2 linked regions of the Mus musculus genome follow. The protein of the gene in region 1 purifies or fractionates together with the protein of each later gene. This does not show direct contact. Links are inferred from orthologs where the notes say so. Each region holds a gene or a part of one and is shown on either strand. Other genes may lie near its edges. The genes, in order: Spast and Nup160.

Region 1 (3,817 bases):
TGGCTGGCTTTTTCTTTATCTTAAAGATAGTTTCACACTCTGTAGCCCAGATTGGCCTAGGACTCATATGTAGCCCAGGTTATTATTGAAGTCATGGCAGTCTTTCTGGCTCAGCCTCAAGAGTACTGGGATTATAGTTTGAACCGCCCTACTTGCCTGGCTTATAGTAAACATCATTATTAATAAGATTTTCGTTTTATAAGAATATAAAGTTGTAGCTGGGTGTGGTGGCACACGCCTTTAATCCCAGCACTTGGGAGGCAGAGGCAGGCAGATTTCTGAGTTCGAGGCCAGCCTGGTCTACAGAGTGAGTTCTAGGACAGCCACAGCTATACAGAGAAACCCTGTCTCAAAAAACCAAACAAAAAAGAAAACTAGAATCTACAACAGGAAAGGGTAAACCTAATAACCAAATCTCTTCTTTCAAACTGTTCCCAAGGCATCCTGGTTTATTTTCTACCTAGGATCTTATTCTGAGATATTTCTAAATTGAAAAGCCTTTGATATGGGTCAATGAAATGACTTGGCTGATAGGGGCACTTCCTGTACAAGCTTGGTGGCTTAATTTCCACCCTGGGTCCCCCGTGGTGGGAGGTGAGACCCAAAGCCCAAATGTTGTCTTCTGACTTCTACATTGCCATGACTTATGCACACTGACACACACATACATACACACATAATAATAATAAATAAAAATTGTTAACTTCTGGTAGTTTGGTTTTATTTATATAAGTATTATTAATTGTTATTTTTTATACTTACAATCAAAGTTTCTAATCATGATGGCTGTATTTTTTTTTTCCTTAATAGAAAGTGGAGCAGTTCCGAAGAGGAAAGACCCCTTAACACATGCTAGTAATTCATTGCCTCGATCAAAAACTGTCCTGAAAAGTGGCTCCGCAGGGCTCTCCGGTCACCACAGGGCGCCTAGTTGCAGTGGTTTGTCCATGGTTTCTGGAGCAAGACCGGGACCTGGTCCTGCAGCTACCACACATAAGGTACTCTACACTAGTGAGTGTAACGTGTTTTCAAGTACAAAACTTGGTTAAGCTTGCTGCTTTGTATTAGTTCTCTATAATACAGAATTGATTGGTTTCCACAGTGTTACATATAACTTTTGAATTTGCAAAAACTACTTGCTATTAAATTCCTTAATTTAGTTCCTTTGAGAATAATTAGGTATTTTATATTGGTTACTTCCCAAGTCTTTTTAGTGTAATGTTGTATTTGTCATCTTTTTAAAGATTATGTATAGTGTTCTATGTATAGTGTTCTACACTATATGTGTGCCTACATGCCTGAAGACAGCATCAGATCTCATAAATGGTTATGAGCCACCATGTGGTTGCTGGGAATTGAATTCAAGACCCCTGGAAGAACAACCAGTTCTCTTAACCTCTGAGCTATATCTCCACTTCTGTATATTTCATTTTTATTCTAGTTTTAGATGTCAGATTATATCAGTCTTATAACATTAAACATATCTAGAGTTTTGTTGTAATATTTTTCCCCTGAGACAGCCTAGAACTGTCTCTGTAGACAAGGCTCTAGGAAGAATCAAAGTTATATAACTTTTCTTTTAGAGTCCTCGGCTTTAAAAATAGATTTATTTATTCGTGTGTGTTTGTGTGTACACCTGTGTGTGCAGTTGAAGCTCAGAAGAGGGCATTGGGTGTCTGCCTATTCCTCTGAGGAGAGTCTGTGCTCCAACCTCAAGCTTGTATTCTCTTGACTAGGCTGGAAGCAGCAAGCCCAGTGATCATCCAGTTCCCTTGCCTTCACAATTGGAGCTCTAGGTCTAGGCATGCACAGGGTGACTGGAGTGTTATGTGAATGCAGCCACCCAAACTCCAGGCCTTAGAACTTTGTAGTACAAGTTCTTAACTGCTGAGCCATTTCTCTGTCTTGACTTTGTCTTTTAATAGTGACTTAATCTCTGGAGACAATCTATTATATTAGCCCTCTTCATGCCAAATTTCGTTCTATATTGAATATAATTTTGGGCCAAATAATCTTTAGAGTCTTGGTTCTTTTTTTCTTTGAGTCTGCTGTGTGTGGAGACCAGAGGTGGATGTCAGATAACTTCCTCAGCCACTTCCCATAGCACCTCTGGGGCTCACAGTGTGCTAGAGCAGCAGCCTGTGGGCTGCAGGAGCTGCCTGCTTGCCCTGGAGAGCTGGCAGGAGATGTGCTCCACATGCCCACCTCATGTAGTGCTCAGGATCTACACTCAGGTTCTTACAGTTGTACAACAAGCATCCCACTAACTGAGCCTCTCCACAGCTTCATATTTTCCTTTGTTTTTTTTTATTAAATTCTCTTAGTATTTACGGTGATTTATGAGTAAGAAGTCACTAAGTTGTTTCACATTAAATTTTGTGTCCTTCAAGGGTACTCCAAAACCAAATAGAACCAACAAACCTTCTACTCCCACAACTGCAGTTCGGAAAAAGAAAGACTTGAAAAATTTTAGGAATGTGGACAGCAATCTTGCTAACCTTATAATGAATGAAATTGTTGACAAGTAAGTTCAGCCAAGTGCTTCAACTTCTGTTTATTTTTATTTATAAACTACATATGTGTTACATAATAAACATTTTGTTTGCTTTCATACTTAATTTTTATGGTTGTTTTGACGAATTTTGCTAATAAACAATATTCCTGTTAACATGAAAATGATTGTTAAGCTAATACGCCACGTTTAAGTACCTGAACAATGCTTCTGTTGTGAGACTCACTGACTGTGTTTCCTAGTGGGACAGCTGTTAAGTTTGATGACATAGCCGGGCAGGAGCTGGCAAAGCAAGCGCTGCAGGAGATTGTCATCCTTCCTTCTCTGCGGCCTGAGGTAAGGGAGGGCTACGTTAGCAAGTAACTAACTCATCGCAAATAACTCCAAGGTCAGAGTGTAAGAAAAGTACATTGAAGCCTGGAGATGGACCAAGCATCAGCTGAGGAGGCTAAAGCAGGGGGGTTGTGGGCTCCATGGGCCACTCTGGGCCAGCCTCGGCATGACCTGTCTAACTCCTCCCTCACAGAAAGGCATTCACATTGGTTATGGTCACTTCTTAAAGGAGATGAAAATGATTGTAAGATATTCTGAATCCATTTTTAACTTTTATGAGAAAAGTAGTTAGTCATGATATAGTTTTTATTAAAAAATTGAGAGATTAGAAATTGCTTCTCCTCCCCACCTCCCCATGCTGAAGTTAAACCTAAGGCTTTAGAAGTCAGATGGCTACTACTGAGCCATATCCCAGTCCCAAGATTTAAAATTAAGAACTTTAAACTTGCCAGGAGTGGTGGCCCACACTTTTAATCCTAGCACTCAGGAGGCAGAGGTAGGCAAATCTGTATGAGATCGAGGCCAGCCTTGTCTACAAAGCAAGTTCCAACATAGTCAGGGCTGCTATAAAGAGAAAACCCAGTCTTGAAAAACAAAACCAAAAAACCCTTAAACTTAAAATAACCGAACAAAGGGGAAATTCAGATAAAATAATTCTTTAAGTCTGAAGAGCAAGTAACTATTTTCCGTGTATTTGCCAGGATATTAACAGCCAGCGAATAATGTGTGGGGATCTATCTGGCTTACCTCATATTTGCAGTCATTAAAGGAAACAGAAAATCATTAAGTTACTAATTAAAGTTTGGTTTGTGCCAGGCAGTGGTGGCGCACGCCTTTAATCCCAGCACTTGGGAGGCAGAGGCAGGCGGGTTTCTGAATTTGAGACCAGCCTGGTCTACAGAGTGAGTTCCAGGACAGCCAGGGCTACACAGAGAAACCCAGTCTTGGAAAAGACAAACAAACAAACAAAAA
Region 2 (4,492 bases), on another chromosome or scaffold:
GTACTCAGCACCAAGTGTGACATGTATAAGCTTAATCTCATCAACAGAATTAAGGTTGAAAGACCATAATGACATTTTGAATCAATGGCTAAAATGGGTCTTCAGTGTTGTATCTCAACTATACTCTTTTAGTTTTTATCCAGGTACGAGAATACTTCTAGAACTGATTCTGACATGAACACGAGACACCGGTTCTCTGCTTGTGTGAGGATTACGGCTAGACGTAGTAACTTGGAACAGGCACAGATATTTACACATTAGACAACCCTCCATCTCTGTAGGGGGAAGGGAAAACGCAGCACTTACCAATGAATGAACCTGTTCCTGGTGATGGAGAACAACTTGCCACTTTCCACATAATAGAAGCCACCAGCGCTCTCACTGTACTTCACCGTTCCAAACGCGGCACTTGCAGTCCCTACAAAATGAATGTGGTGGGCTTGCATGCGCGGTTCTCTGGGGGATGACAGGCACTGAAGAGTGCCGAGGAGCAGAGTGCAAGGGACTGACAGTGCATACAATAGTGAGTGGAAAAGGGAGGAAGAAGTCAGGCACAGGACAAGATGTGATGATGCACAGGCTTCAGGCATGTGGACTTGGATCCACCAGGGGAGACCAAAGGCCTACTTGGGGAGCCCGAGGGAAAGCAGTGGCTCCCATTCTCCCAAGCCCTTTCCGTACCAATGTCGCAGACTGTGAATTCCCGAAAGTGCCTGGGCCTTTCGCGTTCAGCTCCGCTCAGTTCCACGAAGCTCCGTTCCAGGGATCCCGCCGCCGCCATCTTCCCGCCGTCGCCGTGAGGCCTGACGGGACAAGGGCGGGTCACGTCGGCTCGTCACTTCCGGGGGTGTGGCGCGAGGCGGGGATATGTGTGTGCGCGATTTTGGCTGCCTGAGGACCGCGGGTCGGAGGCTCATCTGCGGCTTTTCACCGCGAGAATGAGGCTGAGGCGGGAAGAAGATGCCTTGACTCGCGGTCACTTCGGAGCGGCCGGAGACGGGCGGCGGCTGCGGCGGCGGCGCCCTTTTCCCGACGGCCTCGAGCAGGGGCGGGGCTGTGCGTGTTTTCATTTTGAAAAGCGGGCGCGGGCGGGGAAGAGGCCTGACGGGCACACTCCCAGCTTGCGGGAACCTTCCCCTCCGTTAGAGCGTTGGCGTGTAAGTTGTTATCCAGCCTCTTCATCGTTCAGCGAAACAAGGAGGAAAAGTAAAAGGAAGGAGGGATTCTTTGTGTTGGCATTTTTGCGAAACTTTTTCTTTACACACCCGCATACACATGTATGTGTTGAGATGTCAGCTCAGGTTGGCCTCGAACTCTGATCCTCCCGCCCCAGCCTCCGGAGTACTAGGATTACAGACACTTGCCACTCTGAGCGACACGGGTCGGATGCGTTGAATTAAATATTAATGCCCCAACCTTCTTGAAGTTATCGAAAATACAGTACAGTTTGCAAACGTGCAAGGAATTGTTTGTGAATTTCTTTCTGGGATCGGTCAGTATTCTCTGGAGGTTGAAGATTGATCATTCAGAGCCAGTTTGGGGCTACATAGTGAGACTTTGTAAATGAATGAGTAAATAAATTAAACTACAACTTCAGGCTTACAGCTGAACATGTTCGTTGGCAACTCCATCAGAATCACAACATTGCGAAGTTCCATAATTCTGCCCCAGCAATTGCATTTCCCTTGACCATTTATTGCCTTAATGACTATTTCGTGATTGTCACTGCCCACACCTCTCTTCAGATGCACCAGAAGAGGGCGCTAGATTTCATTACGGATGGTTGTGAGCCACCATGTGGTTGCTGGGATTTGAACTCAGGACCTTGGGAAGAGCAGTCGGTGCTCTTAACCGCTGAGCCATGTCTCCAGCCCTCACCCCCACTCATTCTTAGCTTACTCTGAAGTCGGCCGAGTGGGCATAGTGGCACACTGACAGCAGCTTTTGGAAGCAAGTAGATCAGGAGTTCAAGATTATCCTCCAATTTATGTCAAGATCAAGGCCAGCCTGAGGCTGCCTAAAACCCTGGCTCAAATCAAACAAAAAGCAGCTTTTAATCCCAGCACTCAGGAGGCAGAGGTAGGTGGGTTTCTGTGAGTTAAAGGCCAGCCTGCATTACAGAGTGAGTTCCAGGACAACCAGGGCAACAGAAACTGTCTTGACGTCCCCATTCCTCACAAAAGAAGACAACTTGCCCTGCAACCATATTTTCCTACCAGCAATTATAGCCTTATGCTTCTGTTTCTGTACATTGAACTGTGTCTGAACTTATAGAGAGACACCCTCCCTACCTTGACCTTCGGTCTATTCCTCATTTTAGCATCTTTAATTTTTCCATTTTTACTAAATTACTCCTCTAAATCTCACTAAGATAAAGTCTCCCCTAGAGCCCTGCTAACCCCTGTCCTTCTGTACTTGGCAAAAAGGGAGTTATGTCTGCACTCAGTGGATGCATCTCAGTGGATCAAGATGAAGCCTAAGGTCCTGGTCCCTTGCTTCCATCTAGGTCCATCCTGGTCAATTTCAGTTCAGTTTTCTCTGCCTAATCCTGCTTTCTTCACTCCCCTAGCAATGCTGTTCTGTGAGCACACTGTGTGCTCCTTCCTGTGTGTAAATCTCTGCTTCAGAGACTTTTTTTTTGAGAGGGAAGCTCACACACACACACACACACACACACACACACACACACAATTTAAAAAATATTTTTTTAAAAGATTACCTGTTGTGCGGCTTGGTGGCACACATCTTGAACCCCAGCACACAGGAGGCAAATGCAGGTAGATCTCTGAATTTAAGGCCAGCCTGGTCTAGGTGAATGAGATATGTTTTGGGGAACTTGTTGTTAGTGTCATTTCCCCCACATATTCAAAATCTCTATCAAGGCAGAAAGAATGCAAGATGAACGGGAAGGTGTGCTGTAACGACACTGCCTCCTGGACACAGCATGGTGGCTGCTCTCGTGAGATCATAACTGTGGTTACCTACACAAAAGACAGGGCCTGTCAACATTCCGTGGTGGGGGTTGGACTTTGAGGCCCCATCGCTCCCCGAGGAGCCGTAGGTAAAGTCAGTGGCTGCTGTGAGGGAGGAGTAATTTTCTCCAGTGGTGTATTTGCTGGTTAGTTGCCGGTGCTCCTATAAATAAGACTCCCTCCCATGCTCATTCAAGCAACTCTAATTAAACCCAGTGGGTCACAGATAGAAAAGACATGAAAGTGGAAGAGGAACTAGTTGGGAAGAAGGGCAAAGGAGGGTGATGGGGGGTCCATGATGAAGCTGGGAATAGTGGCCCACACCTGTCATCCTGGGTGCTTGGAGGGTGGAGGCATTCTAGGCTAGTCTCAGCAACATAGTAAGTGTGAGGCCTGCCTAGGTTACATCAAACCCTGTCTCACAGACGTAGGCAGAAGATTTTATTAGAGTGTGTGTTTGCTTTTTTATTAATGTTATTATTCATTTTACAAATGATGGACATCATATGACATTTTCATACATGTACTTTAGCCTACTTTGTTCACATTCACCTGTTAGCAAATCTTGTCCTCCCTTTCCCTCTTACTGTTCCCCTTCCTCTTCCCAAATAATAGTCCTCCCCTCCCCTTTTATGTCATGTATACATATATTTAAATCTAGATTTTGCATTTTTGTGCCTTCCTTTATTAATAATAATGATGATCCCCAACGTAACCATTTTCATTCAAACGATATGATTTTCTTCTTGTTTATGGCTGAATAGAACTTGAGATGTGATGTTTTCCAAGCTTCAAGCTGTCTTTGACCTTTGGTTCATGTTACAGTAAATTCAAGGTGAATTGCAGTAAGTTAACAGTAACACTTTACATTGCCCGAACTTAGTGACTTTTTTTGGGTGGTAATTCGATGGAAATTATTGAATTATTCAGTGGAATAATTTCTTTCAGTGGAAATTAGTGTTATTTTTCAGTGAGCACTTTCAATGTAATTACTTTATTTCGGGGGTTCCAGGAATGTGGTTTCCTGTCATTTGGCCAGTGACTTTCAAAAGTGATAATAGCAATGACTTGAGATCTAGCCACAGTGCAAAGGGCTTATTATTTTTTTCTATTTCTCTAGATTTTTAAATATTGGTTTTTATCTTCATGCTGTTCTATTAATCATAGTAAGTAGCTTTCCAGTTCCTGGAAGCATATTGGTTTGTCCCACACTTATTTTTTCAGTCTTGATTGCATGTTGGGCACTGGGTTATAATGATCCCCCAAAATAGGCTAAGCAGCCAGATACCTTGTCTTTCTTGTGTTTCGAGACAGGGTTTCTCTGTGTAGCCCTGGCTGTTCTGTAACTCCCTCAGTAGACCAGGCTGGCCTCGAACTCAGAAATCCACCTGCCTGCTGCCTCCCGAGTGCTGGATTAAAGGTGTTTCTCCACCACCCAACTAAAATATCTTTAAACACTACAAAAATTTCAAGTTTTCTGCTTTTGAGTTTCTCTCAGTTTAGTGGGGGTTGCAAAGGGG

What was found.
Region 2: the proteins of Spast (region 1) and Nup160 purify together in Homo sapiens (affinity purification with mass spectrometry; 3 studies listed by BioGRID and IntAct, with this or other methods). This does not show direct contact. The link is inferred for Mus musculus from reciprocal best matches to the Homo sapiens genes SPAST and NUP160.

The regions. Positions count from the first base shown.
Region 1 is NC_000083.6:74,366,438-74,370,254, forward strand, and holds part of Spast (spastin), read left to right. Parts: intron 1-810; coding exon 811-998; intron 999-2,390; coding exon 2,391-2,524; intron 2,525-2,754; coding exon 2,755-2,848; intron 2,849-3,817. UniProt on the Homo sapiens protein: ATP-dependent microtubule severing protein that specifically recognizes and cuts microtubules that are polyglutamylated.
Region 2 is NC_000068.7:90,675,698-90,680,189, reverse strand, and holds the start of Nup160 (nuclear pore complex protein Nup160), read right to left. Parts: upstream 2,976-4,492; 5' UTR 2,720-2,975; intron 2,677-2,719; exon of another isoform or gene 1,177-2,676; 5' UTR 782-1,176; coding exon 682-781; intron 419-681; coding exon 307-418; intron 1-306. UniProt on the Homo sapiens protein: Functions as a component of the nuclear pore complex (NPC). Involved in poly(A)+ RNA transport.